Linked DNA regions of Mytilus edulis. Each later gene encodes a partner of the first gene's protein in a complex. Links are inferred from orthologs where the notes say so. Each region holds a gene or a part of one and is shown on either strand. Other genes may lie near its edges.

Evidence for each region.
Region 2: eukaryotic translation initiation factor 3 subunit M-like (region 1) and COP9 signalosome complex subunit 6-like share a complex: the UniProt entries of both Caenorhabditis elegans proteins name them as parts of the CSN complex. The link is inferred for Mytilus edulis from reciprocal best matches to the Caenorhabditis elegans genes cif-1 and csn-6.
Region 3: eukaryotic translation initiation factor 3 subunit M-like (region 1) and eukaryotic translation initiation factor 3 subunit K-like share a complex: the UniProt entries of both Caenorhabditis elegans proteins name them as parts of the eukaryotic translation initiation factor 3 (eIF-3) complex. The link is inferred for Mytilus edulis from reciprocal best matches to the Caenorhabditis elegans genes cif-1 and eif-3.K.
Region 4: eukaryotic translation initiation factor 3 subunit M-like (region 1) and eukaryotic translation initiation factor 3 subunit B-like share a complex: the UniProt entries of both Caenorhabditis elegans proteins name them as parts of the eukaryotic translation initiation factor 3 (eIF-3) complex. The link is inferred for Mytilus edulis from reciprocal best matches to the Caenorhabditis elegans genes cif-1 and eif-3.B.

Annotation. Positions count from the first base shown.
Region 1 is NC_092350.1:9,816,166-9,824,487, reverse strand, and holds the start of eukaryotic translation initiation factor 3 subunit M-like, read left to right. Parts: upstream 1-5,037; 5' UTR 5,038-5,107; coding exon 5,108-5,149; intron 5,150-8,322. UniProt on the Caenorhabditis elegans protein: Component of the eukaryotic translation initiation factor 3 (eIF-3) complex, which is involved in protein synthesis of a specialized repertoire of mRNAs and, together with other initiation factors, stimulates binding of mRNA and methionyl-tRNAi to the 40S ribosome.
Region 2 is NC_092346.1:85,901,309-85,909,526, forward strand, and holds the start of COP9 signalosome complex subunit 6-like, read left to right. Parts: upstream 1-5,148; 5' UTR 5,149-5,216; coding exon 5,217-5,388; intron 5,389-8,218. UniProt on the Caenorhabditis elegans protein: Component of the COP9 signalosome complex (CSN), a complex involved in various cellular and developmental processes.
Region 3 is NC_092346.1:7,988,819-7,996,042, reverse strand, and holds the start of eukaryotic translation initiation factor 3 subunit K-like, read left to right. Parts: upstream 1-4,204; 5' UTR 4,205-4,312; coding exon 4,313-4,365; intron 4,366-7,079; coding exon 7,080-7,178; intron 7,179-7,224. UniProt on the Caenorhabditis elegans protein: Component of the eukaryotic translation initiation factor 3 (eIF-3) complex, which is involved in protein synthesis of a specialized repertoire of mRNAs and, together with other initiation factors, stimulates binding of mRNA and methionyl-tRNAi to the 40S ribosome.
Region 4 is NC_092352.1:57,917,360-57,925,677, forward strand, and holds the start of eukaryotic translation initiation factor 3 subunit B-like, read left to right. Parts: upstream 1-5,011; 5' UTR 5,012-5,083; coding exon 5,084-5,222; intron 5,223-7,981; coding exon 7,982-8,174; intron 8,175-8,318. UniProt on the Caenorhabditis elegans protein: RNA-binding component of the eukaryotic translation initiation factor 3 (eIF-3) complex, which is involved in protein synthesis of a specialized repertoire of mRNAs and, together with other initiation factors, stimulates binding of mRNA and methionyl-tRNAi to the 40S ribosome.

The DNA.
Region 1 (8,322 bases):
GTGTTTTTTTTATATAAAAGAGGGACGAAAGATACCAAAGGGACAGTCAAACTCATAAATCTAAAACAAACTGACAACGCCATGGCTAAAAATGAAAAAGACAAACAGAAAAACAATAGTACACATGACACAACATAGAAAACTAAAGAATAAACAACACGAACCCCACCAAAAACTAGGGGTGATCTCAGGTGCTCCGGAAGGGTAACCAGATCCTGCTCCACATGCGGCACTTATATAAATTAGACCGTTGGTTTTCTCGTTTGAATGGTTATACACTAGTAATATGTTGGGGTCCTTTATAGCTTACTGTTCGGTATGATCCAAGGCTCTGTGTTGAAGACCATACTTAATTTGACCTATATACAAATGGTTTACTTTTATAAATTGTGACATGGATGGAGAGTTGTCTCATTGGCAGTCATACCACATCTTCCTTTATCTATAAAGTTTGAATTTCGATCACATGAAATAAAATCACCTGTAAAAAAAGTAAAATAAAAAAAATACTGATCTCCGAGGAAAATTCAAAAAAGGAAAGTTGGCCATATTCTAATGGCAAAACAAAAGCTCAAACACAACAAACGAAAAGATAACAACTGTCATATTCCTGACTTGTGTAGAAGCACTTTTTGACGTTAACCTTTAGTAATATATTTTGTTAGGTGAACTTGATACATCATGTAAATACATTTTCAATCTTACTTTGATTGGAAATCGACTAATTCAACCTGTCCCCTTTAAAAAAAAACTCTTTGGATATACGGGATTTAGTACTACTCCCTCCCTATGCAAATTTTATGATATGTTACAATTTTCACAAAATGGAAGAAATTGAACAATAAAATCAAAAAAAATATTTACAAAGCCACACAAAACCATTTCAAACAGTTTTATTTAGTCACTGAATAGCACATCCTCATTGTCACAATACAAATAATCAATTCATCATCTGATTTTAGGAAATGAGCTAAATAAGCAGCCAATAATGTAGTGGTGGTGAGATGCATATACTACACGGAAGTTCTATAAAACGAAATTATCAATTCTTCTACATTTAGGTCCTTACGGTCCACAGATAGTCAAATTGTTAACAATCATATCACTGCGACTACCTAGCTTAAAGTCTCTTCCGAACATTTGAAAGTCCCTGCTATGTACTTGATACCTAAATTGCACAAACAACCATTTAAATTCCGTTTCGTCTCAGCATCTAGTAAGTGTTCAATATACTAATTTATCAGTGCTTCTAACTACCCCCTTTGCTACTATCTAAGAACTTGTTTTTAACTTTATGATAAAGCTATGCAAATAATGGTATTAATTATTCTTGGAGTGTTAAAAATTCTTTAGGGGTTTAAGATAAAATACGTGTTTTGATGGTCCTTTTAATTCTGTTGACAGTTATGATTTTATTACCCTCTACAATACACTTCCACACAATCTTATCAAGAAAAAAATTACATATTTAATTAAATATTTTTTGGAAAAATCTTATTGCAAATTAATTTGATGTAACTTGTTTAAAGGGACACTAGCTACGAGAAATATAAAAATCTAAATAAGCTAAATAACATTGATGATGAATTGATAATGAATTATTCACTTGCAAGTGAAGAATTCGACTTCATTAAATCCGTATTCATGTGAACCTCAATTTAACCTCGTAACTACAGGTGGACAACGCATTCATTGTACGTGTACTGGTTCTTCAAAGGAAAAGAATGTCAACAATGAAAGTGAAACAAAGGTTAATCAATTGATGACTGATTCGATCCACAAAAATTCTTTCTTTTACAGGTAAAAACGATGAGAAACATATATTTCTAATCTTTATTTAAATAAAATTAAACGGACCTCTAAAAATCCGATTGCACGAGTTGGCTCAATATATTTATATCTATATTAATGTTTACATCGCTTATATGGTCATCTGAGGTCAATTCGATAGCTAACTAAAATTGGCCACAATCTTCATTGGAGTATATAGTTTAAAAAATGTGTCATGTGACCCGGCCAACCAACCAGATGGCCGCCATGGCTAGAACATAGGGATAAAATGCAGTTTTTTGCTTATATCTCTGAAACCGTAAAGCATTTAAAGCAAATCTGACAAGGGTAAAAATGTTTCTCAGGTTATGATCAATCTGTCCTGAAATTTTCACACATCGGACAATCTGTTTTTGGGTTGCTGTCCCTGAATTAGTAGTTTTAAGGAAATTTTGCATTTTTTGGTTATTATCTCGAATATCATTATTGATAGAGATAAACTGTAAACAGCAATAATGTTCAGCAAATTAAGACCTACAAAGAAGTCATATGACCAAAATGGACAATTGACCCCTTCAGGAGTTATTGTCCATTAAAGTTAAATTTAACAATTTTCCGAACTTAATTTTGTAATCATGGCTTTTACAAAAGTCTTCTCCTGAAACTACTGAGACAAATTTAACCAAACTTGGTCACAATCAGCATTATGGTATTTAGTTTTAAAAATGTGTCCGATGATCCTGCCTGCCAACCAACATAACAGACATGGCTAAAAATAGGACATAGGGAGAAATTAATGCATCAATTGTAAATAAAAATTTCAGGTGCGCGACAGGGCTTTTTGGAGCCTCTAGTCTAGTTATAAGGAGTAAACTGTTGGTTTTCCCGTACTTTGACCTAAAATCGTTTACTTTACAAAGGTGACTTGGGTGGAGAGTTGTCTCACAGGCATGCATACCACATCTACTCGTATATATTAAAGTTACTCTGACAATGAAACAAATTCTTGAATACAAAAAAATAAGAGATCATTTGAGCTTGGAACACTTTACAATGTTAAACATTGATGCATGCCTTCATTTTTCAGCATTTCTTTTATTTGTTAATTTAAGTGATGTAAGGACTTTCATAAAATTTGTGAAATATTTGTGTTTGAGATATTAGGTCACACATCAGTTCAAATAAAGGTAGGAATTTTGTATGTTTCCTGATTGTGAGTATGAATGTAAATCTTTTAACGAGGAACCATCCTATTTTATTACAGTTTAAAATCAATAAATACATTTGAGTTGCAACTAATTTTATTTCACTGCCAATATTTTGGTCCGACTTTTAAAATCAAATACTTTTTGCATTATGTCAGCGAAATGTTCTTATAAAATATTCTGAACATCTAAACTTAAATCAAAATCCTATTTTTTTATGCCCCACTAAGGGTCATTATGTTTTTCTGTCTGTGCGTCTGTTTCCTTATCCGTTCGTCCGTCCGTACGTCCGTTTGTTCAGCTTCGTGTTAAAGTTTTTGGCCAGTCAAGGTAGTTTATGATGAAGTTGAAGTCAAATCAACTTGAAACTTAATGCACATGTTTCCTATGATATGATCTTTCAATTTTTTCAATATTCCAAATAAGAGTTTTTACCCCAATTTCACGCCGGTCCACTGAACATAGAAATTGAGAATCGCGAATGGGACATTCCTGTACTATGGACCGCACATTCTAGTATTTTGTTTTATCGTAATATTTGAAATTACTCATCTGATTCTTCCCAACCTCATGTTCGGTAAACAGAGTTTTAGAGAGCTAAAGCTTTGTGTTATTTTCCTTTGCTTTGATATTGTTTTTTTTTTTTGTAATTTGAAGTTATTTCAAAATATTCTCATGATAAGTACAAATTTTACTGGACAAGTGAACTTCAACTCATTTACTTGTTTCACAATTTAGTTATAGTCGTTTTATAGTCAGTTTCCACAATTGTGATAAATCCAGCCTTTCTATCTGATAAATGTGCTTCTGGTCACTGAGTTGTAAATCATTTGTAGAAACTCTTTGTTTTGAACTGTCAAAAGATGACAGCTTCAAACGTTTCAGGAATTATTATACATCAGTCAGTGGCGGATCCAGGGGGGGGGGGGGGGTTCCGGCGGTGCGCACCCCCCCCCCTTTATTTTTGCCGATCAATGCATTTGTATCGGGACATATGTTTTGCACCCCCCTTTGCCCTGGGTGCCCTGGGTTAGCACCCCCCTTTCGAAAATTCCTGCATCCGCCCCTGTCAGTGACAATTACAGAATTTTGGAAACACTCACATTCTTTTAATGAGATTAAAAATTCTTTTTTAATCACTAAATTACTAACTGAAATACCAAATACAACAAGTAATATATGGGATATATGTACAAGGAATTTTAAAGATGTTTATGTACACGCTTGTTGCAATTGTCCAAGTATTAATGCACAGCGAGAAGTCTGGTGGGACATTTTAAGTGACAATTTTCCAGTGCAGCTTTACTGTGAATTAAACATGTATGACGACGAAATCCTGTTTCAAATGTTACTCGGTCGAAAACCACTGACAATTTTTTCAAGCATAGATGAATCGGTTCAATTTCTCAAGCTGTGTCATGCACATGTTATTCAGTGTGTAGCAGAATATAGCCGATCTCTTAGACAGTGTTATTAGATGTGTCAATACACGATGTGTCAATACATGATGTGTCACTGCAGTTATACTTTAATTGCTTTTATAGATTATTTATATATCATCTTTTGTGTATTTACCTTATACTTTGCTCTTATACTAATAATTTGTGTGTAATTATGTTGTAACGTTTGCTTATATTCATTAATTGTATGTTCATTGAATCTCATTTATGAGGAATTAAAGATATGAATGAATGAATATCCTACAATTTCATTGGGCGAGAACACTTATATTCTAAATCACTCAACAATATTAGGCAATTCCTTCTGTCTGCCTTGTTACACGTGTCAATCGAATCAACAAATCAATCAATCAATCAATCAATCAATCAATCAATCAATCAATCAATCAATCAATCAATCAATCAATCAATCAATCAAACAATCAATCTATACATCAATCAATCAAACAATCAATCAATCAATGTATAAAAAAGATAAAGATAAACAGATAAATGAATAAATAGATATCAGTAATAATAAGATGTATTCCAAAACTAACTTGTGTTAAGATTGCAAAATGACCGGTTACTCATTTATTTGGCTAAATTTCCCTGATCACCTATTTTTATGTTGCCACTGATAAACAAGAAATTAACACGTTAGTGTGATTTGACAACAAGCCATCAGAAAAAATGAGCATACCGGTATTCATAGACTTACCCATCAATGAGCAGGTAAAACGCCAGATCTATTACACACGAATAACAGTCAAGAATTTGGAATTATGATTTTCTTAAGTTAATCCCAGTCTTTCTCTTAATCTCATACATGGTCACATTCTTACACCAGCCGGGTAAAACCACAACATGCGTTACTTTTATCTTCTTCTTTCGTTACAAAAAACCATCAATGTACTGATGTTTATTCTCCGGCACATGCCTGGTTAATGTTTCCAAAATAAATTGATATGGAGAATTTTTTTATATCAAAACTTAGAGGGGTCCTGATCTCCAAATCCCGGGCTTTGAAACATGAAATTCTGAGGTCCCGAATTTAGATAAATTTAAATCCAGAAATACGAGAAAAGAATTTCCAGATCACAAAAGGATAAATCCTGAAATCCTGAGCTTAAAAACAGCCTATGCCAGGGTCCCGATAAAGCTCCTATCCCCCCTCATAGATAATCAAAATATTTCTTGTTTAGTGTTGTTTTTGGTTATATTTTTGTATTTTCCATTTTATATACATGTATAAATAAGTAAAGTTAGTAATGATCTTAATTAAAAGTCAGGTTTTCATATATATCCTACTGTAGTCTATGATCGATGATCTTTTTGGTTCTTTCGGAATTTGTTATTGTACTCGTCACAGGGGCGGATCCAGCCATTTTAAAAAGGGGGGGGTTCCTAACCCAGTACAAAAGGGGGGTGGGGGTTCCAATTACATGTCCCCATTCAAATGCATTGATCGTCCAAAAAAAAGGGGGGGTTCCAACCCCCGGAACCCCCCCTCTGGATCTGTGCCTGCATCACATGGAAAAACTCAGCATTGACGTCACTACGTACGCTAATACCAGCGTTCAAAATAGGAGCAGAATACCTATTTCTACTCTTCTCAATAAATTTTTTTTTTCTAAAGATATGATTTCAGTGTTATTCTTAAGTACAGGGCATTCCCTTGAAATTGAAGTAGTAGGTTAATTTAAAATTATAGGGAGCTGTCACATGCGTTACAGCAGGGGGTGTAGGGGGTTGCTCAAACCCACTGGTAGCGCAAAAAATCCTGCATTCTGGCAATCTCCTGGCACATAATTCATGTAATTTCATCTTTCAAATATTCATTTTTATTTTTGGCAAGTGCAAGGCCAAAAGAAAATATATATCTGTTGAAGGTTACATCATCAAAATAAATAGGGTAGGTCGGTCGGTATTTCCATTGTCTTGTCCATTTGATTTTTTGTGCCATGATTTTGAGTTGTGCAGTCCGTCTTTCCGTGGTCCGAGTTGTCCATGGGCCGAGTTCACCCGTATTTTTAATGATTGGATTATTTCCCTTGGTTATTGGTTGGAAAAAAATTGCAGCAAAGTTTTTATTTCATTACACGAGTTGCGAGTTTCCTTCAAACAGCTGTCATATTCACGATTGTGAACATTGGGATGTATCAGGCAATTGATTAAATTTATTTGCAATCCTAACTTGGTGTAACGGTGGGGGTGGGTGACGACACCTCCCGGGCATGTAGTGGCCAGTACTTCGCCCCTATTCGACCATCGGGATACCTGATATCAGATTATTGCTGAACAACAGACAATAAATCAAATGAAACTATATTTTATTCACAAATATACAATAATTGCATGAATTTAAACAAAGTCGGATAAACAACAGTCAGAAAACTTTCTTAAATGGAGTTCAAAAATAGATTAGTATTTTAAATGTAAAATAAAGTGTTCGCAGAGTTAGTCTTAAAAGTAAGTAAATTAGCTTCGCGTTATGTTATTTAAGGTAGTAAAACTTGCACCAAAATAGGGTGACTAACTCTGGCGAACTGCACCTAAGTGGTGGCTTACTCTTAACTCGAGTGAACTGATACATTCCGGCGAGTACTTGGAGGCCTGTGCAAGGCCGACTCCGACTGAATATCAAATGATATTCTCAACTTGTCATTAAACAGGCTAACTTTATCAAAGAAGGTACTGAAGAAAAGTTGAATAAATGAATATATGCTTCAAATATTACAGAAACATCAAAAGTTAAATAATAAAACACAGTCCCAGATCCATGCACAAGAAAGTGAAAATTTCATATCTTCTCGCAATTATAAAATGGTTAAGTAGTGCTATAAATCTGTCATTTCATACTGATAAGGCGACAGATAATATTACTTAACTAACGGATGTTTTCTACACAAAATTGTAAAACTTTTAAATTTTTAGGAAAATGCACAGGCACATTTAGGGTAGACCCTTCCCCCTTTTTTCTAAATTTGAAAAAAAAGTAGAATTTGGAAATATTCTTTGATGTTTCCTGCCTTTCAAGATTTATTTGAAAACTAATTATTTTTATATATGGTTTTTAAATTATTTTAATCTTGCAATTTATTGAAAAAATTAAATTTTGTAAAATATCAAAATCACATATATATAATGAAAAAAAAACTTTTCTTTTTATGGTATTGTGTATTTCATTAGTATCCCTTCTTGCAACAATTGTCACCTATAGATTGAGAGAGAAACCATGTGGTGTCTGTGAACTAACATAATATAATTGATGTGACAGTTTAATTTGAAAATATGGTGTTTTCTAAGTAGTGTAGGAGATAAGTTCACTTTTTATTCAACATCATTTTGATGCAAATTCTTGGGCTCAGTTCATAGACTGAACAGTAAAATTAACAATCCTTACTTTTACATTATATGTATCTTCATTGATATTTAAATCAAATTAAACTTAAAATAAACATTTAGATACTAAATAATTGATCTGTCCATATTAAGGGGAATTAACTTAGGCATATCAAGGCACATCTATTACACTTGGCTTTTGACACAAGTTCTATTAATTTTTCACTCTATGTAAAATGGCTTAGGGTTGGAGCTCAAATTAGGGTCGAGCGGGGATAACCGTTAATAGACATATATTTTTTTTGGCCTAATGGTCAGTTCTTTATGTTCTTTACCTTATGCTCAAAATTCATTTTCTTTTGTTAACAGGAGTTTTATTTATATAATGATCTGATTTATTAGAAATCTTGGTAGATTTATTTTGCATAACCTCGTACATTTGTAAACAAATGACCCCCTTGTTATCCTTGAAAAGAAATGATTAATTCCAACTTTAAATAGACGACCAATCAGTGACCGGAATTCACATGAACTGTATTTAGCCCAAGGTAAACGCTGTTTAT
Region 2 (8,218 bases), on another chromosome or scaffold:
AAATTATATCTGACCTATGGAAGTCATTTTATTCTGACTTGTTTATGTCAGAGCTCTGACTGATATACATGTACATGTACATTGTATTATATATAGCACTGTGCTTCCCAGACTATTATCAGCATGGTTTTCAGCATTTACATATTTAAAATTAGACAAACATACGGTTTAAGTTTGTAATTGATGATGATCATGATGATCTAACCTGAGTACAAAAATGGAGTATTGCTAATAACCCTTGGTTGGACGTCATAAAGTACAAGAAATAGCTGTTCATGCAAGAACTAGATTTAAACAGCCCACAACCATAAGGAAAATGGAAAATGTTTTGTCATGTGTAGGATTGCAGTTATTTTGTAATTGTATAAATACAACAAACATTGCATGAACATATGAACATAGTGATGTGGAGAATTTATGAAATAGAAATAAAACTTTCTTTGACGATTTTTTTTTAGTGATATCGTATCGCCGTTCAGTAACGTGACGGTACCGAAATTGCACCTATTTTGACAGTTTTTTCATCTACGTTTTTTATGATAAAGACAAAAATGTCCATTCTGTGTTTATTTTGTAGCCGTATCCTTCTTTATTATAAAGGTACACCAATTTGATTTTTATTCCATATGGAATAATAGAAAAATTGGTCTAAACTGACCTCCAAACCGTCAATTATTCTGAAATGAGGAGCACCCAAATTGCATCCATGCTTAAATTCACATCGTCAAAAGTCTAATAACAGAGCTTTTGTTTAATTTCTTCAAATATTTTGAACAATTGGATATTAGTCCATGCTTACTCTTCATTATTTTTTAAATGGATACTTGTAACATATTGTATTTGCTCATTTTAAAAAGATGACGTTTTGATGACGTCGCATGGCGACGTTTCAGTACATTTTGCTTTTTCAGTAAATACTTCATCTGTTGATAAATACTGTGAAAGTTTTGTGCATATCTAAATATTTTTACCTATGTTGAAAGATGTGCTTAGTATCAAATCATAAAAATACAAATTGTTTAGTCTCTGTGAAATTTTGTAAGATTTTCGCTGCTAGTTTTTCTAAATAGGTGCAATTTGGGTACTCGGTGCAATAGGGTACCGTTACCTTTTAAAAGCCTGAATGTATCAAGGTAATGTTTCGACAAAACACAGTATATGTACAGTGAATGGATTGTGAGAACAAAATATCAGATGGAATGTCCAGGAAGCAATTTATTTTCTTTTTAGGCGATGTTTTTGATAGGGGAAAGAAGCTAAGTTTTAAATGTTGTCCTAAATGTAATCTGATGTATTTCCTCCTTATTAATAGGAGCACGTAGAAGACGTGACATAAACCCATGAGCAAACAGAAAAGCGAGAAATAGGCCTAACAGGAGAAAATAAAGATATTTATATGTTGTTACTCGGCCCAATGACAACTCGGACCGCCTTAAAAATAGAACAGATTCTTGTGAACCAGACATAACTTATGGCACAGAAACCTGGCTCTCAAATACTATATATCTTATCAATAAGGCAAATAGTCTCTTAGGTGCTATTTTACCGGCTCCGGCAAAATAGCGATTTGTATAGAGTTTTGCTATTTTGCCGGTCTTATTTCAATTTTTTTAATCAAGACCGTACTATAAAATATTTTTTTAAGGAAACTATTTCGGTACAAACATGACAAATGATATATATGTGGCTAGCCGATTTCAGTAACCTTTTCAGTGTTCGCCTTGCCTTTCTAGTCATTCAATTTTGGCGAACTGCACTCATTTAATCCATGTTGATACGTTTATTTCTGTTGAACATTGAAAAAAAGGAAAACAAATAATTTGCTATCAAACAAACTTGATTTTTGAGTGATAATATGAAAAGCTACAGCCCGGGCGATTTTTTGAGTACTTTGAAACGTGAAACGAGGACTAGAAATCATGAAAACCAGAAAAACTAAAATAATAATCTTTAGTCTTTGGTGCAATAAAATATAAGATGTCTAAGATTAATAAACAAAAATATTGTACACACAATGCATAGAATTCTAGCTATTGACAGCATTTATTCTATGAATGTTGAATACTGAAATGTATATGTCTGCAAATTTTGCAAAAGTGATAAAAAGAAACATGTGTTTTATTCAGTTCATGCAGTGGCAGCACCTTTCTGATGCCAGACTTAAGAAGAAGTCACCAAAAAACAAGCCACTGGTTCTGTAACGCTCGTAAAGCAGTTAGATGTTGTTAGGTGTCACTTTTTGATTGAAAACTAATAGGATATTTTTTTATTAAAAGTTTGAATCAGAATGTCGATTTTTTTATATGGGTTCTCATGCTTTGCTTATGTGTATTGTATATTTTTTTAAAGAAATATTTTTTTAGACTTCCTATTACAGAAAACAAGTACTAGTATAAATCTTAATATTTTAGCTTTTTTGTTAAGACTTCCGATTAAAGAAAAAAAAGTTCTAGACTAGTATCATTTTTTATCTTTACTATGATGTGGTTTTTTTTACTTCCTAAGATGCACTAGTATCAATTTTAATAAGTTAATTTTTTTAAATATTTTAAGAAGACATGTTTTCAGAAACTTCTTATTAAAGTAAAAAATATCAAACTTAATGTGGACGTTTTGTATAAATGTTAAAAGGCATAGTTGTATATTTCTTATTAATGCATGTTTCAGTATATTTTTTCTATTATTAATTTCTATACTTCTATTTTAATCTTATAATATATAATTAAGACCGACAAAATAGCAAAACTCTATAGTCTACAAATGGAGCCGGTAAAATAGCACATAAGAGACTATTTTGCCGGAGCCGGTAAAATAGTCACTGCCATCTAATTAATACGCACCATCAAAATACACTGTATACCACAAAAATAGAAAAGATGAATATGGAGGAGTACTACTAGCAGAATCAAATAAATACACATCATCACAAGTAAATGAATTTGACACAGATTGTGAAATAATTTGGGCAAAAAAAGCATCCCCAAACAGTAAAACACTATACTTATAGGTGCGTACTATAGACCACCTTCAGACAAAGGGGAATCATTAGAAGACCGGGCAAGGGTTGTATATAACCAGGAACATATATATTAATATATAACTGTTCCCAGATATAACAGAAACGTACAATAAAAGATCTGTCATTAAAGATGATTCTCCGATTGACCATGTTGACAATATACACTTATTGTTCACATTTTCGACTACAATTAAGCATGAAATATTTGCTGCTGCACACTATGGGAGTCAAAATATAACGTGCATTAATGGGAAATTCAAACTTATAAGCCGAAAATATACTGAAAAAACGAAAAAAACGACCAAAACACATTTAGGAAAAAACACAACAGTAAACTGGCATTAATCCTATCTTTGCAGAAGGTCATATAAAATATATGTAAAAAATATGTTCCCAATGGCACGAGAATGCAACACAAGCATAAACACATACTTCGAGCTCAAAAGCACTGATTTGAATTATTCTCTGGTCGTAGGCAAACATTAATATGATGAAAGGAGATGTGAGATAAACTGTAAATTATAGGCTGATCAAACAGAATATTTTAAAGTTTTAAAGGTTCTGTCTTTTTTTTTTTAAACATCGTTAAAAAGATTTGTGTCTAAGGTAATCGACACAAGAACCCTGTAATACTAGTGCGAGAGTATAGCATGTAACCACTCCTTCTCATAAACGTTTACGTATATGCATGCAGTTTCAAATATCAAGAACAAGCGGTCGATGTCTATAGATCATTGTTAAGTCCGTTTACTAACGGAATCAGACATTTCACTTGTTCATGATCATTCTTGGAAGCCTTCATATATTCCCCGTCCGACGATGGGGACTCTTTCTGATTGTGTTGACTATGAAAGCTTGTATGGTGATTCTGTCGTTTATCTGTACAAGTGGTTGCATATCCTCTCCTTTCCCAACATGCAAACAAACTAACGAAACGCTACTAGTCTGTTTTCTCTGGGGCTCATCCTCAATGGAGCTTAAACGTCCGGAAAATTACATGTATACTAGTAAAGATTGTTTCAAGAACAACGATGTAGGGACGAACAATTCTAAATTCGTCAATATCAGTTATATACATGACTAAGATATAAATGTTAATACAACTTAGTAGTCTGATGTTATTTATGTATTATTGTCATTTTGTTCATTTTCTGCGGTTACATCTTCTGACATCAGACTAATACTACTCTTGAACTGAATTTTAATGTGCGTATTTTTATGCGTTTACATTTCTGCATTGTCTAGAGGTATGGGGGAGGGTTGAGATCTCAGTCATGAACATGTTTAACCCCGCCGCAATTTTGCGCCTGTCCCAAGTCAGAAGCCTCTGGCCTTTGTTAGTCCTGTATTATTTTTAACTTTAGTTTCTTGTGTACAATTTGGAGTTTAGTATGGCGTTCATTGTCACTGAACTAGTATATATATATTTGTTTAGCCTATATAGGGGCCAGCTGAAGGAATATTGGGGTATGTTGGGGTATGAATGTAGGACAGAAAGTCACAGGACAAAAAGTCACAGACAAAAAGTCACGGACAAAAAAATCACAGGACAAAAAGTCACAATCAGGCAGTTTTTAGAATATTTTTTTTTAAACAAAAAAAAAAAATAATTTTTAATAAAATATTCGTTTTTTTCTTGAACTGTGATAAACAAAGCAATTTTGTAATTAAAATGTATTTAATAAATATCAATACTGATCACATGATTGTTATGAAAACAAAATGTCAAAGTGACTGTGTACTTAAACGGCTTCATGTCGCCAAGAAATATCTCCTTTGCATGATTAAAATTTAATAAATTTTCATTTACAAAGCTTATGAACAGTGTCCTACACTTAGAAATGAATAGATGTAATAAAAAGAAATGTTTCAAGATCTTTCTCTTATATATATCTTAACAATTGATAAAATATTAATTGTGACTTTTTGTCCTATCAAATTTGTGACTTTATGTCCTGTGACTTTTTGTCCTATGACTTTCTGTCCGTTTACCTTGGGGATTGGCGTAAAAAGTCACGCCGCACAATTGACTCAGAGCTGGAATAAACGGTCCGAGTTGACCTTACAAAGACGGTCCGAGTTTCCTACGGGCCGAGTAAAGCATATTCAAATAAGCATTTAAATGATCAAGATCATCAGACGTCAAAAGTTACGTCCCTTTAAAGTATTTTTGTTTTCTTTCTTTTTTCTGTTTTTTATGACCATGGCTTCTCAAATGGAGATCGATACACCTTCTACTAGCATGACTAGTGTGATGGCTAGCACAACTGCATCAGGAAGTGTTTCAGTGTCGTTTCACCCACTTGTCATAATGAATATTTCTGAACATTGGACAAGAGTACGAGCCCAAGAAGGAAAACCAACACAGGGTAACATTACCATAGATTATAAAAGTTGTTGTACACATGGCAGAAGCAAAATCACATTAAAACCCATGTTTGCAATAGAAAAACAATTAACTGAAGGCATGTTAACTCTACTTTACTTTAACAGGTTGGGAACAAACCCCCTGTATGGTGATTATACCTCTATAGAGGGATAATCCTTCTTTAGAGGGATAAAATTATCCCTCTATAGAAGGGTATTTTTGTTTGCACTGGATTTAAAGCAAATTAGGGCAGAATGGCATTTTCTAGCTATATTGGCTACAATCTCTAGCATTATATGCATCAACATATGCACTTTACTAAAAATTGGGATAACCAGTTTTCTGCTAAAGTGACAAAACTTGCAATCTATTGTTAACCTATCTGAACACTTGATCAACAACAAAAGGAATAGTTGACCTTTAAATTTCATGTTAAATCTAACAATAGAAATTCTGTTCAGTGAGGCAGAAGTGAGTAGAATTTACCTGATCATCACAGCTTTCAATCATGGTGAACAATAGATTTTATATTTAGTCAGATAAGCATGAAACTGGGCATTTGCATATTAAATTAAGTACATCAATTGGTGCATCAACTGTTCCAGGTTACTGCCATAATAAGTAGAGAATGCCATTCTGCCCTATATTGATTTAAATCCAGTCTGAACAAAAATATCCCTCTATAGAGGCATATAGAGGATAATTTTACCCCTCTATAGAAGGATTATCCCTCTATACAGGTATAATTACCATATAGAAGGTTTGTTCCCTACCTGTTTAAGGAACATTATTGAAATTTCGTTGCATATCCTACTCAGCCAGGCTACTGTGAGTACTGACTACTGTGTACAAATGTATGTAGTCTAAACATTTATCGGTCATCTTGTTAGTTCAATCGGTATTTGTGTTTGAACTTAACACACAGGGAAACTACACATTGACGTCACTAAGCTACTTCCAGTGTAGAAATTAGTGCAGAATACTTTTTTTCTACTCTTTTGAATTACTTCACAAAATCCCACTTCCTGCCTCCATTGCTTTGTGTACATTCCATTCAGCGTCATCAATCTTGTGGCAGGCAATACTGGTCAAGCAAATTGTTTTTTGGGATACAATCGCTTTTAAGCAATCTGTAAACTTATACCATTGACTTCGGGCCATGCCCTCACGTCAACCATTTTCTTTTAAACAGCAAGGAACTAGATTGTCTTGCTTTGAATGGTATAAAAAACAAAAGGATTGAATTTAAACAACTGTCCTATAATGTTCTTCTAATAATCTTCAATCATGTTTCGATATTTCCCTTGACTTGTATGGGTGTTTTTAACAACACAGAAAATCAGAATTAAGCAGTATTTATATTTAGTGTTTTTATAAATTTAGAAACACGTCAGAGGGAATTCCCCAGTTTTGGTAATATGCAAGAGTTCTCTGAATTCCGATAAATCTATGTCTGTCATATAAGAACTGAAGTGGAGTTTTCTTATATATATACATTTTTGTTGTACATGTACATGTATGTCACCATTATGAAACTGATATTTGATATTGTACTTCCATAAAGAACGGAGGTTGTTTTTAATATACGTCCTTGCTACAAAGAACAAGTCTAGGGTTTGTTAAGGTAATTATGTGCATGTGTATAGTTTTCTTGACTTATAGGGGTATCAGATTGAATGGTTGCTCTGGATTCCCCACTCCATTGATTAATTTGAAACTCACAAGATCCTTTCTATCCGTCTATGTCTGTTGAGGGTTATTGTTGTTGCATAATTTTAAATCATACTAGAACACACCCGTGATATCGCGGGTCCGTGACTGATATATAACTATGCGTATGCCTTATTTTAGTATTGGTATTGTCATCTGATAAAGTCATGCCGATTATAACATGTATAACGTGCACAGTTTTCTCTGCTTTCAAAATCTTTCTGTTTGAACCCGTCGACCTGGAACCTATCAATTATTGGTAATATTAATAATTTGGAAAACAAAAGGGCCTGGAATGGAGTATTTTTTACTCAACAGTATACAGCAAAATTCTAAATACACTGTTTGGTGGTGCGCCTGTCAGATGCGGAACGTACAGATAAGGTAATAGGTAACAGGGGAATATACTATTGGTATCGGTGTCGGACTCGATCCGGAACTTCTTAATTATTGGCAATATTAATTACGTGGAAAACAAACGGGCCTAGAGTGGTGTAATTTTTAATCAACACCATTGTACTATATTAGTTATATATAAAGTTGAATTCTTTGATTCATCGTTTTAACGTGATGACGGCTGACAAATTGGACCTCGTAATTTTAGTATTATAGATGCATCATTTGAATTAAAATAAATGTAGTCCTTAAAGTATAGGTGTAACTAGAAAACCCCTTCAGCCAAAATGGAGTCTTCCATATTATTGCTTCGAGTTGTCTCCCTTCTGTAAGTAACTTTCGTCAAACGACGAGTTGAGTAAAATTAACTCATTCTGTTGATAGACGTCGTACTATATTAAAACTGATCGCTATTAAAACAGAGGAATGTGTACGAAAAGGAGTCATGCCCACTGACCCAAAGGAAATTAAATATTTAAAGAGTTAGGAATGGGGTTCCACCTAGAATTCATGTAGGAAAATAGGTAATACATGTAAGGTATTTGTGCAAGGCCTTCAAAAATTGCTCCTTTGGGGCTTATAAATGAGCAGTGATATGAAGATAACAGACAAATGGGATTTTCATTGTCCATGAAATTACACTTAAATGATAAGTAAAGACATCTGCAAAGGGCACACAATTTAAAATTCTATTAAGCAAATGTTACTGATTGGTTTATTGTTGC
Region 3 (7,224 bases), on another chromosome or scaffold:
AACGTAAAATTACAATTAATAAAAAAAAAAAAAAAAATCGGGGTGGGGTGGGGAGGGAGAAGTAAAACAAATTCAGAAAGACAATTATGACCTTGAACAAAATGCCATTAAATATAATAACGCCAATAAACGTACACGGGTAATTAAAATAAGTTTGTTGTAAGGGTTAATAAATGAATGTGTTTTTCCTGAGACATATATGTGTATATATGTCTCTGGTATTTAATAGTATACGAGAAAAAAAATGTATTTTCATACTAAATACTTAAAATATCACATTGGGCAAATATTAAAACTAGGAAAACGAGATATAACACAAATGTAGTAAACATTTAATAACAAAAATACATTACAAATTGCCGAATCAACACGAAAGTATGTTTGTCACAAATTTTTTTTTTAACCTAAAATCAAATAATGCAGTTGTGCCATACATTCATTCATCTTTGGGGAGCATATTTTTTTCAAGTACATTTTTTGATTCTTTTAAAATTCTTTGAACATAATTTTTTTGAAGATGCAAGTAAAATAATTAATTGTTTCTTGTTTCTTGTTGTTGGTGTTGTTTAAAAAAGAAAATCAGTTACCAGAAATGTCATTAAAACTATCCCACTGAAGAGACATGTATTGCAAGCCAGTAAACTAGTGGGTGACAGACGTTACAGTGAGTCATATGGGCTGACAAAACTTTTACTTTTTATTATTGGACTGGATTCAGTGGAGAAAATGATATTTGATAACAGATTGTAAATGTACAAAATGAAATGGTCAGTTTTTGTTGGAGGCCGGATTATGAATTCCATAACTCTATACTGGTGAAGGCTTGCTTTTACTCTCAGAAATTATTAAAAAGAACCAAAGGATATGGGGTATCTATCCATATCACAAAATCACTACATGCACACAAAAAATAACCACACAAAAAGCAAAGGTTTAATACATATGCATAATCTGTATGATGATGAGAAAAGAGCTTACATAGGCGCTTACCTACATGTATGTAACCGGAGGGGTTTTTACGTTGCATATTTTCTGTGTCAACTTTTACATATTATACCCCAGACCGTGTAAAGAGTAGGTATTGGAATCACGAGTCTCTGATCCTTCATATGTGGCATTGTAGAACTTAACACTAGCAAGCTTTCATAGTTTATTATAATAAATTACAATTTAGCAAATATCAACAATATTATAAAGATAAAAGTAAATAGTTAAAACTCACATAAAAGTGACAAAATATGGTGAGGTCTGTGCAAGACCAGCAAGACTGAAGAATGAAATCTCACGAAAAAACAATGTTTTCTTAACAACTAGTATTCAAACGAAACGTTCTCATTTACAGAGACATATGATAATTGTATTATATGTCGCTGTCATTGCGTAAACCCCTGAGGGTTTACGCAGTATATATTGGACGAGTGATGTAGTATTTCGGAACACCGGATATTATTCGGAACACTTCTGCTCTTTCCATGACCATTTTTCAAATACATGCGCAATAGCTATAACCACCTTTCAAATACATGCGCAATAGCTTACTAATCTGTTGAATATGCATTAGCATCTTAAGTTGCTATAGAGATATTTTACGTATGCTCTGAAACTAAATATGATTATGCATTAGCATCTTAAGTTGCTATAGAGATATTTTACGTATGATCTGAAATTAAATATGATATAATATTTTCTTGCACACAATCAAGCTGCTTTTATTAACCTGCATGCGTAGTAATTAGAGTCAAACGATGTAACCAGCTGTGTTTATATATAAGATAAGGTTTCATGTAAACAATGCGCTTTATATTCTGAACGAGAATAATTAAAATTAAAATCTTTAGAAAGAGTTCTAGTAGCATTTTATTTTAGTTTTATGTTTAGTGAAGATGTACATGTTGTAAAAAGCAAGCTATTTACTTTTTTATACTGAAATTAAAGTCTTACTTGCATATGATTAAATTACAGTTATTTTTTTTTTTATTATTAAATATAGCAACTTTAAAAAAAAAAAATATTATTAAAAATGTAATTAAATAGATATTGAATATGAAAAAACTAATATAAAACGGAAACCTACAACTAAATTATATTTAAAAAAAAATACACTTGACTATGCGAATGTTTTGTCGTTTTTCGTTGGTTAATATAATATATGCAAACATTAATTTGTTTCTAACTTCAATCTGTTCAAGCGATTTATTTTTTCTACGATTATAAAAAGTATGTTTTTCATCAACAATTATTGAAAATTCAAATAGGATCAGAAAAGAATTATTAAACGATGTTTTGCATCTGTAGCAGTTAGACAATAACAACAAACACCTTAAAACTTTAGTTAGTTACAATTGCACCCTTAAAGTGCCGCTTTAATTACGATCAAAATCTTAAAATTAACCATGCATGTAATTTCGGTAGACTAAATAGGGTCAGTGATAAGATATCAATTGTCTATTTTTAGTTACCGAGTGATGACAGATGCAGATAGAGATAAGAACAAATACTTTCTATTTATAGTTACCTTAGCCGCAAATATTTTCTATTTATAGTTAGCCTACCTTATTTATCCAGGGAACTAATTATCACTTCTGAAGTATTTAATTTTAAAATGTTCCTCTTTATAAAAACAAAATAGTTATTTTTTTTAAAACAATCAGAAAATGAATTTTCGGCTTAATAGATTATGTATAAATTTGATATTTAGGTTTTTTAAGCATGTAAAATAATTTTATGAAATTTTTAAGTTTATTTTATTAATGAAATTTTTTATTTTTATTTTTATCAAAACAACAAAGCTTTGTGTGATCATTATGATAATGTACTGATATAAACGTGTTCTCTATAAATTAATTAAAAGCTCCTGGTCAACAGTTCTCATAAATGTGTAAACTAAACTTTCTCTGATGTCTTATATAAGCGCCACGGTGTATGGGTTGTACGTGTTTGTTTGTGGTGTTAAATTAGTCTTGCAAAACAAATCGGTTGTTGGTTAATTGCGTAAACCTAGACAGCAATAAGACACGAAAAGTGAAAAAGTCGGATTACAATCCTCAATTATCTGGAATGTCCTATCATTGTCTGAACGCAGTCGTTTAAATTCGTAACAGATAGGCTACGGGTCGGGAATGGTCTTGATAGTTCGGCGAAGCACCCCGACATTTAGGTGCGTCCCGTAACATTCGGGGAACTCAGCCGACTTTGTCTAGCCGGATGACAAGCGTGACTATGTCGTGGCAGATTCTGCTGTATCGGATAAAAATTCTAACATTGTTCTGTGTTTTCTGGACGGTGTCCTGTGGAACGGGAATGATCTGGAGAAATTTTTCATTGGTGTTTTTCTGCCGATTGAGTCCAGATTACATCCAGATCTAGTCGATTTCAAACCGTCTTTGCCGAAATCGTTCCGGAACAGTCCTGTTATTAATACGAAATTCGCCAATGATACCCACCTCAGAGTCCCGACAATTACAGAATACAATACGACTGAGACCAGACAAAGACGTTTGCAATGAGATAGAGAGGATCGTGATAGAATTCCGTTCCGACAGTACCTGATCATCCCGAGTATGTCGACAGTTTTCGAACGGATAACTTCTGTCAGCATCGGTTCACTGTCTGGTCACTGTCTGATCTCTGTCGGATTACATTCGGTAGAATCGGGATGCAGTTGTGACCAATTCGGTCGAATTTTACTTTGCGAAAGATACAAATCGGATTAGAAGCGGATTGAGAACGGGATTATCGTGAAAAAATTCTCTTGGAAACGGTTGAATATCGACGCTTCCTGAACAATATCTGATTGTTGTCGTGATTAATTAATTAAAGTTTGAATTTCCTTCCACGATTCACAGGATCTTGATCAGACTTTTGACAAATTTTAATTGGGAATGGTCCTGTCAAGGACGGCAGTAAAAATCGTGAATGTGTGATCACAGCTTTAGCGAAAATATATCAACCCACATTGAATTGTAATTTCATTAAGTAAACAATCAATGTCAGTTTTTAATTCTTATACCACAAATTATATAAAACAATACATCTTAAGTAAACAATTATCTAATATTTAATACCAAACAAGCATTTGGGTTTACGATTGCATTTCTTTTTTTAAAGAAAGCAACTTGTTTATAAATTGTTTAAAAACTCTACAGCAAATTTAGTAGGTTGTGGTTATGCTTTAAAACTAGCTCGTTGGTTTTCAGATCTACTCGAAGACTTTTTTACGGAAAAAATCACGATCACAAAGGCGCTTGAAGTACCGGTACACATGTGAATTTCTTAATTTTCATTTTGACAGCTGTAATTCACAAACTCCAGGATGGCTGACGCGATGAGGGCCCAAGTAGGTGCTTTGCTAAAGGGAATTGACAGGTAAGACACGATAATACGAAAGTGGTAAAGTTTTTCAAAACCGGCGATTCTGATTTTGTCTCGTAAAGAAAATGACACTGCAGCCCTTTTTAGATGTTAGACCAGAAACAAACCTGATACTAAACCCCTAACGGGAAGGATTGTGCCTGATATTCATATGATGAAATCATAATCTTTCAATCAGTTTAATTGAAGTCTGGAGCTGGCATGTCAGTTAACTGCTAGTAGTCTGTTGTTATTTATGTATTATTGTCATTTTGTTTATTTTCTTTAGTTACATCTTCTGACATCAGATTCGGACTTCTCTTGAATTGAATTTTAAATGTGTGTATTGTTATGCATTTACTTTTCTACATTGGCTAGAGGTATAGGGGAGGGTTGAGATCTCATAAACATGTTTAACCCTGCCGCATTTTTGCGCCTGTCCCAAGTCAGGAGCCTCTGGTCTTTGTTGGTATCGGGACTGTTCGCCCTAATAACATGTTCGCTCTAGGTCCGTTCGCTCTGAGTTCGTTCGCCCATAGAGTCCGTTCGCCCTACTATAAAAATATCAATATTCAGGGCATTGAAGTTGAATAAACTTATTCAGATATTTCTATGGTATATATATCATGTATATTCTTGAAATTTATGAAAACATTGAAATATTTAAAAGTTTATGGCTTGTTTATTAGGATCATTAATTGTTCAATGACAAAATAATTCTGATCACTGATTATTGTGATACTTGTCTTTTGATGGAATAATAATAAAAACAAACGTTTTATTTAGATAAAATATTCAGCTTGAAATCAATAAAAACAATGATGTACAAACTATAAATTATGAAACCGACTTACAAGTTCATTTATTTATACCTTAAGACTAGTAATACTGCATACATTCGTGATTGACTGAATACAATTATTTTGTTAACAAATATCAATAAAAATAAATAAATTCCAGTATTCTACTCTGCAAAGGGAAAATGATAAATTGATTGCGGCAATATAAATATTCTGTCAATTTTTCAACAAACTTTAACATATTTTGTTCAAATACTTAAAACAATGCGACTAGACAACAATTTGAAAAAAATAAATATCAGGGCGAATGGACCCTAGGCGAACAGGTACAAAATGTATCAGGACGAACAGGTACTAGGGCGAACATAAATTAGGGCAAACGGACCCGGATTCGGCTTTGTTAGTCTTGTATTTTTTTAATTTTAGTTTTTTGTGTACAGTTCAGAAATTAGTATGGCGTTCATTATCACTGAACTAGTATATATTTGTTTAGGGGCCAGCTGAAGGACGCCTCCAGGTGCGGGAATGTTTCGCTACATTGAAGACCTGTTAGTGACCTTCTGCTGTTGTTTTTTCTATGGTCAGGTTGTTGTCTCTTTGACACATTTCCCATTTCCATTCTCAATTTTACTGATTAAGATATTTTATCAAAATTTTCTGTTCCTCATATTACCAAACATCCTCTTGAAAGCATATACTTCCATGATCTGTACAGCTAATCAATCTTTTAATGAATTAAATGTTATCAGAGTTCTTGAAACTTAATATTTTTCTGTCTTTTTTTCTTTTACATACAAAATTTGTGTAGAGAATCAGAGTCCCCTATTTACGGTAGAAAATCAGTAAAAAATAAATAATCAGGAAAATTTCCCGAAATTTTCATTCTTCTTTTAGCTGGAACACTGTTTACATGTTTTAAGAACTCAAAATCGTTAACTTTTTTTCAGACATTTTTAATTTGCACATTTGCACAGAAATGTACTTCCTTTCAGTTGTGTCATGAGACTTTGAGTAGTCTAGTAAAATATAGAAACTCCAGGAACACAATAGTCAATACTAATTTCATTTTTTAATATTTCTTTGTCTAATATGAATAAATGTTACCTGATGATCGCATTTACTTGTTTACCTTGAATATGATGTCTTAACTTATATAACGTCATAACATAAATCCCAAACAACAGAACCAAAATCGGAAACGTTACAGTATTTCGGGTTTTTTTTTGGAAGTTTAAATATGTTTGAATTTTTAAAAAAACAATTCATACAGACTTTGTCCCCTTTCACAGGTAATGCCTGCCTCATATTAGTATTGACAGCAGTGCCATATTGCCAAACTTACTGGTCTTACTAATAATTTTGAGTTCCTACATTTGTAATGAGATACATTATGTACATGTATGACGATGGTGACCTGTAGTTGTTAATTTCTGTGTCATTTGGTCTCTTGTGCATGTTGTGAGAAGTTGTCTAATTGGCAATCATATCACATCTTCTTTTTTACATGTATATTGAAAATGGAAAATAATATACATGTAAAATTCAGAAAAAGTGTTTTTTTAAATCTGAAATTGGAATCAAACCATGTTATGTACATTTAGTTGATTTATATAACTGCCTTGTAGCATTCTCCTTGTGAGTTGGAGAGATCATTGATTAATCCCTGAGCTGGTTGGACTAAAGACTTTGTCCAAATATTACATTAAAATTAATTAAGTTCAGTATATTTATGTCACTCAAGTTTCAACTCAATTTTGGAAATGGCAAGACTGAATCTGACAACCTCATCCCCTGTGCAATTGTCAATTATAGTTACTTTTGTAAGCACTTTATTAAGATGATTGTATCCCACTTTTGATGGAAACCATTTTTCTCATTTGGAGATCTAGATGATCCATAACAATTTATTGACATTTTGTTTTATTACAGATACAACCCTGAAAATCTAGTAACTTTGGAAAAATATATAAACATGCAAGCTCAAGAAAACACATATGACTTGGAAGCTAATCTGGCTGTTTTAAAATTGTAAGTATATACATGTTTCTAACTTTAATTTCTATATACATAACTT
Region 4 (8,318 bases), on another chromosome or scaffold:
TCTTATATAACCCAGTGATTGTGTGATAAATCAAACTATAAAAACTATAAGATATTATTCATATCTTGAACTTTTTCTCGATATTGACCCAGACTGATTAATATTTCGCACGACATTTTGCTAAGCTTGGCCGCACTTAAGCGTAATATATTTACAAAACAGCCATGTAATCCTTCAAAAATGAGGTGAAGAATTTAAAAGGAACATTGAAACTCATAAGATGATTATAAACTGACTACACAATGACTAAAAAGCAAAAAAGCAAGGAGACAAACAACAGCATACAAAACAGATCAAAGAATAGTAAGCACTGAGCAACACGTACCACATGACAAAACAGGAGGTGAACTACAGGTGGTCTAGATGGTAAAGAAGATTCTGCTTCACATGTAACACCCATCGTGTTGCTCATGCAAGTACACATAATATACTATTAAAAAACCCACCCAAAGTAACTATTTTAAAAGTCTCGTGCAAATAACCAGTTTAATAATCTCAGATGGCATTTGCTACTCTGTTCTGGAAAGATTGTTTTTTTTATGAGGAAAGTGTACGGGATAACTCAACATCGTCTGATCGAGTATCAAATTCCAAATCTTGTTCGAAATCATTTTCTGTCTCAATAGTTTCATTTAGTATTTTAAAATGATCATACAATGCTTTTAGAGATATATCGTCATTGTTATCTTTTTTTTTTACTATCATTTAGATTATTCAGGATTTTCCATAGAGCTTTTGTATCCTTTTTAGAAATGTTACGCAACTCATCAGCAGCCTTCTGTTGAAAGTTTGCAAAAGCTTTATTTAATGTTATTTTATGTTCTTTACTAGCTTGTCTCATTTTACTTCTGTTTTCAGCATTTTTCAAAAAACTATATCTCTTTCGAGCTTTATGAAATTTTTTTCTACTCATCGAGCATTTTCTATTAAACCAAGGTTTTGAATTTTCATGTTTGTAAAAATGTTTATGTTTATTTATTTTCCCAAACGTTTCTGCCGCCGCATCTTTAAAATTTTTGCTGATATCTAAAACTATATTGTTTATATCATTTTGAGTTGCATCATTATTTACGGACAATTTGTCCAGTTTATTCATAACAGTGGTCAAAATACCTTCGGGATCATTGTGAATTCGATCAACGTATTCAGATTTCTGTTCACTTTTCCACCTGACAAAAGTTTGATCATTTCTATTGTTGATAACAATTGAATCTGATTTACTAAATGTGACCTGAAGTCTAAAATTTATAAAAGAATGACAATCAGAATATAACGGTATAAAGTCAGCAATTTCAAAATAAAAAATCATAGGGAAGAGCATTGCTGAAATAATTAAATAATCAACAACACTTGAATCGTTACATGTTTTCTCCCCAATATCTTTATCTGATCCAACTCTTGAATTCGCAATATATAAATTATTTTTTCTGCACAACTCTAACAGTCTATGACCATACTTATTAGGTCTACATGTACACTGAGACACTCTTTGTAAGGTGATTTTGTTTCGAGTCAGATTCTCATAATCATACAAATAATATAATATATCAGTATCACAATCTAAATCAAACATACTAACAACTGACTCATCAGGTATAATATAATCGGGTAAAGACCCAGTTTTTGAGTTAAAATCGCCAACTAGGGCAACATAACAATTTTCAGTGTTTGTTAGGATATTCAATTCATTTTCCAATTCTTCAAAAGCTTCTATAGTAGAATACTTAGAATTTTCAGGTGGTACATAAACACAACCAAAAATTACATCTGAATTAAGTGACAAAATTGATTTAGAAATTTGAAACCATAAAACAAATTGACTCTCAGTATTATAGAAATTCAATTCTTTTTCTAAACTCTTTCTATAAATAACAACTATTCCACCTGATGGTTTTTAAAAAAAAAAATCTATTTTTTGTGACATAAATATAATCGTCTGGTAAGTTTAAATTATCTAAATCAGTTAACATCGTTTCAACAAAAATACAGATATCATGTTCAAGCAAAATGTCAATGAAATCAGGAGACAATAGCCTTTTCTTAAGTCCACAAACATTTAAGAAACAAATATTTAAACTATCATTGTTAATTGTATATTTCTTATTCACAGTTTCATAACTTTTCAAATTCTTTTGAGGTTGTCCTCTTGCACCATTCCCCTATCTGCCAGAATTTGGTGAATCATCTGTGTGCGGTGGGCGAGGAGACGGTCCCTGTCGCTGTCTTTTGCTAGGATGGGTATCACTAGAATAAGACCCTTTTGGGCTCGTGTCATGGTTTGTTGATGAAGAGCCAGTATGCTCCGTTCTAGTGTCCTCTAATACCGTGTCAGGAATGTAGAGCTGATTGTCTATGTATAGCCGATCATGCACAAGAGAGGCTTGTCTATTTTGCTGTTTGGCTTGTTTTAACACCGGATACAGTTCCTTCCGCTTTTGTTCAATTTCATGAGGAAATTGTTCCCGTATTCCATATGGTCTACATTTTAGTCTGGTAGCATTTGCTTAAACATATTCCAGATCACGGTGATATAGGAATCTTGCAACTATTGGTGCTCTTCTGTTGTCCCCCTTTGTTCTGAATCGATGGACATTACCGAATTCGATCTTGTAGTCGATCCTCAGCTCATCGTATAGAAAAGATCGCAAAAGCTCTTCCGTATCTTCACCCGGAACTCTATGCAATCCCGTAAAGATCAGATTGTTTTTCATTGACCTGCATTGCAAGTCAAGAATAGCTGCCTTTAAGGACTCAATTTCCTTTGAAATGATGACTGGTGGAACACCCGGTCGGACGATGGTGTTGTCTTCGAGTTTCTTAATTCTCGTATCCTGATTGTTTATATTACGTCTGTTGGTTTTTACTTGTCCAGATACTTGATCGAAAAGATTGCTAACACCTTGGCAGCTAGTCTCGCAGTCTGACAGCTTTTTGTTGAAATGGCTTGCCTGGTTTTCTAATGTTCTAACCCTAGCTGACACCGTTAAGAAATCTTGTTTCAAATCATCAAGGTGCTTCTCCATACTTGTTTCCATTCGTCTCATTGTAGAGTCGATACCCGTAACTATTTCCAAAATCATGTTAAGCAATGTGACGGAGTTCAGATTTACATCATTGGAAGCGTCAACTATTCTTCGGCTTTCTTTAATCAACCTCGACTTATCGCTCATCGACATTCTTTTGATATGGAAAGAATTTAATAAAATAGTTCTTCTGATTAGTAGATAAGTATAAAAGAGGGACGAAAGATACCAAAGGGACAGTCAAACTCATAAATCTAAAACAAACTGACAACGCCATGGCTAAAAATGAAAAAGACAAACAAACAACAGCACACACGACACAACATAGAAAACTAAAGAATAAACAACACGAACCCCACCAAAAAACTAGGGGTGATCTCAGGTGCTCCGGAAGGGTAAGCAGATCCTGCTCCACATGCGGCACCCGTCGTGTTGCTTATGTGATAACAAATCCGGTAAATAGTCTAATTCGGTAGGTCACATTCAGGAAAGGGAAGGGGATTGTAGTTACGACGTAAGGAACATATCCGATATCATTTGTGATACGGTTATTCCATAACGGTCAACCAACTTAAATTAATACCTCTTGCTTGGGGCAAAGTCATTAAACAGATCACACCTGGTCAGAGAGTATTAAATTCTAAATAACATTCATCCAAAATTGCAACATCCTGTACAACTTAAATCGCACATGGTCTTTTGAATTCACAAGATAAGTAATACACGAGTTTATTAAAGAAAAATGGGCTTTCTTTTTACCTGTACTCTTTAATAGTCCGTATAAGATTTAATATAAATTATACGCTATATTTTTTTTATCGCAAAAGGGGTTATACTTTTTTCAGCAATTTTGGAAATGTTGAATTCTAAATCTCTCTGATATAGGAGTATCCTCTTCAATGAACTAGTATGTGCTGTTCATTTTTGACCCCTTGGCATTTTGAAATATCTTCCTATTTTAATGGCAAGGTTATGAGCACCGACTCTTAGTTAACACACCGACGATCGATCTAATCTATTTCATAAAGCATCAACATAAGCTATAAACGTACAGTCATTTTGTAAACATTATGGAAATTAATTTTTAATACTAGTATGCTGAAATATTTGCCTGGCAATCACGGGTCTAAATAATTTTTTTTTATTTAATATAGGATTTCTCTATATTTTTCTATAAATGAACTTTATCTGATACTCAAATAGAAAAATGAAATAAAAAAATGGGGTCACCGTTCATTTACGCTCACAATCTCGGAAGAAGCATACATTTTGTTAATGTCCTTTTTTTCTGTTGAACTAATAGGAGAAATAGCGGTAATATCGAAATAAAAAAAGAACTAAATAACAGAAATCGCTTAAATTTTACAATTATTTAGTTTATGTACAGCTTATTCGAAAACAACAATAAAAAATATAGGTCACCGATGTGTTAAGAAAGATACTTATATTTTAATGCAAAAAAATTGGCATTTTTGCACCAAAGGGAGATAATTTGGAGCTTTTTCAATGATATCTACATTTTAAAAGTCACCTGGGGCCAACACAAATTGATTTTTTGGAATGATTTTTGTACCATATGATAAAGGAACAACTACTTAAGGTAATAAACAAAATTTGTAATGAAAAATTAATGTTTTAATTTTTTTCTGAAAATCTTATACCCGCGAGCCTCCTTAAATGTAACTTTTCCAGTGTCTTTAAACGTCGAGATCATAAAAGTTAAATTGATTCAGATTGGTCACTTCATAGTTAGTGAAAGTATGAAAATAGTTTAATTGTGAAACTGATATTTTTTTCTCGTCTAAAAGTCCCTAAATAGGTAAAAATTGAAGATAAATGGGAAAAGTTATTATTGTGCTCCTCAATCTTTATTTTTCTGTGTTCGTCTTATCAGAGACATATAATACAAATGTAGAATATGTCTCTGGTCTTATTAACGTTTTTTTTCTTTGTTTTGTCATTTTTTGCGGAAATTGATATTATTGTTTGGTCATCGGTTTAACATTTATATTTCTACGCCTGCGCAATAAACTACCGGCGAATCCACGAGGGTTTTCAAGATGGCGGCTGATAGAAGCGATTCAGAATCGCGGAGACAAAAATCTGATTCACAGAATCAGGACGGAGAATTTGAGGATTTCGGAGAAGAACCAGACTTTAGTGACCCTGATGAATATGATGAAGATGTAACTGACGAAGGTTAACCTTCGTAACATGTTTTTTTCTACCCCATATGTGGGCTTCCGATGGTTTTCGTACTTCTGGAGTGGTTCAAAACCACTTTTATAAGATGTTTAGTCTGATTTCACCCCTTAAGTCTTGTTTTAATCCTGATCTATCTATACCAGTCCATATAATTCTTAGAGAATCCAACGATTTGCATGAAATTATGCGCAATCTGTATCTGTATCTGTATTGGGAAATCCCTCCTTCAAAGGAGCACTTCACAATGAATATATATGTCTATACACACTTAGTTTGAAAATATAAAAAATATAAATATAAACAAAAGAGATGAAATATGGGAAAGAAAGAATTTGCGTTGTAACTTGTATGATTGATGTATCCATGAGAGACTGAAAGCAACTTATATTTGTTCACAAAAATCTAAATAAATGAGATAAGAGATCAACCTTCCGTCTTCAACCAGTATCTATACCATATGTCAACTCTTTTGTCAAACCTGTTTGGCAATGGTATCAGGTCCGTTCGCGCCCAATACACGTTCGCACCCAAGGTCCGTTCGCACTCTACACGTTCGCGCCCAATTTTTATTAACATTCCAGTTGAATAATTGGAAATCATGATTGTTGTTTTAAATTGCTTTGGTGTAAATATTGAATGTATATAGCTCGGTATGAGTAAAACATTGAAGATTTTAAATGAAAAACACAAAAGATAATTGTTTTTGACAGCTTGGTAACTTTGATCTGAAACAATTAAACAATAAAATACATGTATTTTACACTATTATAACCAAAACATGATGAAATTTATTCAACACACAAAAAAAAACGTAGTCAGAATCTCACTTAGTTGTTTTGAAACAAGTCAATGAAACAAAGTTATAGCAATACACTAACCAAAACATGATTAAGAGTTATTCAACACAAAATAAAACGATGACAGAATCCCACTTTATTTATAAAAAGGATTATATTTTCTTTTAACAATACACTATCCAACTCATGATTAAGATTTATTCAACACATAAAAAAAAATGCTGTCTCACTTTATTTTAAGACAATGACAACAAGAATACTCTTGCCAAAACTTGCATGATTACTAAATCAAACAATTAAAATTGGGCGCGAACATGTAGGGTGGGAACGGACTTTGGATGCGAACATGTAGGGTGCGAAAGTAAAAGGGGGCGAACGAACCCGGATTCTTTGGCAATGGTTTGACATTGACAACCATCCTAACAAGGGATTGTCCCTCATATCCTTGATATATAATATTTGCCACTTGACATTAAGGTTCATCGTAAGGAATTGAAAAATATGGCCGTGTTTACACCTCCAAAATTACTATGAGTACAGACAAACTGGTACATCCAGGAAAGTTTTAAGGCATGGCAGGAACTAGATATATATAAAAGTTATATGAAGTCTACGTTTCAGAAAATTAAAAACTTACCTGGATTTTGATGTTCATTTTTTTCCAGTCTGCAGAAGATAGCAAAATAAACAAACACCCGAGTTTCATTTGATACGGTCCACTCAGTTACACAGTTTAAACCTGTAAATTCACCTATTGTTTACAGGTGTCTATTGTCCATTTAAATCAATACTACTCACAACATTGATTATATGAGGGGAGCTTCTCAATCGTTTTCACTACTTAGTTAATTTTTGCACCTTCTGCAGGAACGAAAAAAATGGATAGCAAAATCTAGAAAAGTTTATAATTTTCTGAAACATAAAATGCATTTAAAATTTATATATCTAGTTCCTGCCATCCCTTAAAACTGTTGCAGGTGTATAGGTTAGTCTATACTCAGAGTAAAATTTGGGGTGTAAATACGGCCATTTTAGCCAAAAGGTTATGATGAACCTTAAACACTAATTCATCAACAAGTTCAAAAATGTTCTTTCATTCTGTTGATAACAATTTTGTTAAACTACTTTTTACAATATCAGTGGCACATCCAGGGGTAGGATTGCGGGGTTGAAAACCCTCTTATTTTGGACGGTCAATGCATTTGAATGGGGACATAAAAACGAAACCCCCTTTTTATCCTGAGTTGGGACCACTCCTTTTGAAAATGGCTGGATCCGCCCTTGGATATAAAGTTTCAGTCAAACCTTGTCAAATTGTTTATTACTCTAGAGACAGTCTGAGATTTGCTGGGGAAAGTAATCAAGATATTTAAGGGAGTGTGTTCTCAGTTTCAAAATAATTAGCATTTCAAAACACTAGTATATATTGATAGGGGATTAATAAAGAAATTAAAAGAGCAAAAAAATATATAGGTCAATGTGCTTGTTTTCGAGATATTAGCCATTGAAATTTTGGTGGGAAAATATTTTCTCTTGACGTTTCATAGCTGTATCATTGACAAGTTTAAGTTCTCAAAAACTATTAAAAAATAATTAGAATATTATAACACGTTTTACAGATGGCTAAAAATCATACATGTAAAAGATTTATAAAAAGAAAAATGGGAGCTAACGGGCAAATTTTTTAAGGCATTCAAATGGATTAAACCAGAGGATTCTGAAAATCTTACAAAAATCCCAAAACATGACAAGCGTACTTATGTGCTTCCTTAAATTAAGATATGCTTAAAAGCATGCTTCTTTGGGCTTACATGTATATCATTTGCGATTTTGTACATGAATAGTAAAAATCACTTATTTGAGATTTCACATACCTTTGCATAAACTATTTGATTTATTAACAATGCATTTTCTTCTGTAAAATGTACATCACAGAAACTTATTGTTTTTTTTCAGAATTACTTGGAGATTTATTGAAATCGAAGCCAAAGGAGTCTGATGGGATTGATAACATTATTGTTGTAGACAATGTCCCAGAAGTTGGTCCTGATCGTCAAGAAAAGTTGTCAAAAGTTATTAGAAAACTGTTTGAAAAATTTGGGAAAATTGTTAACGAATATTATCCTACAGATGGGGACAAAACGAAGGGGTAAGTCTCCTTAAGACATGTTGAGTTTTGAAATATAAAATGCAGTGAATTATTCATTATTCTTTCGATACCAATTTTCATGGGTATATGTGAACTACCAATTCAAATGTCCAACAAATGAAAATTTTCTACAAACCTTGTATG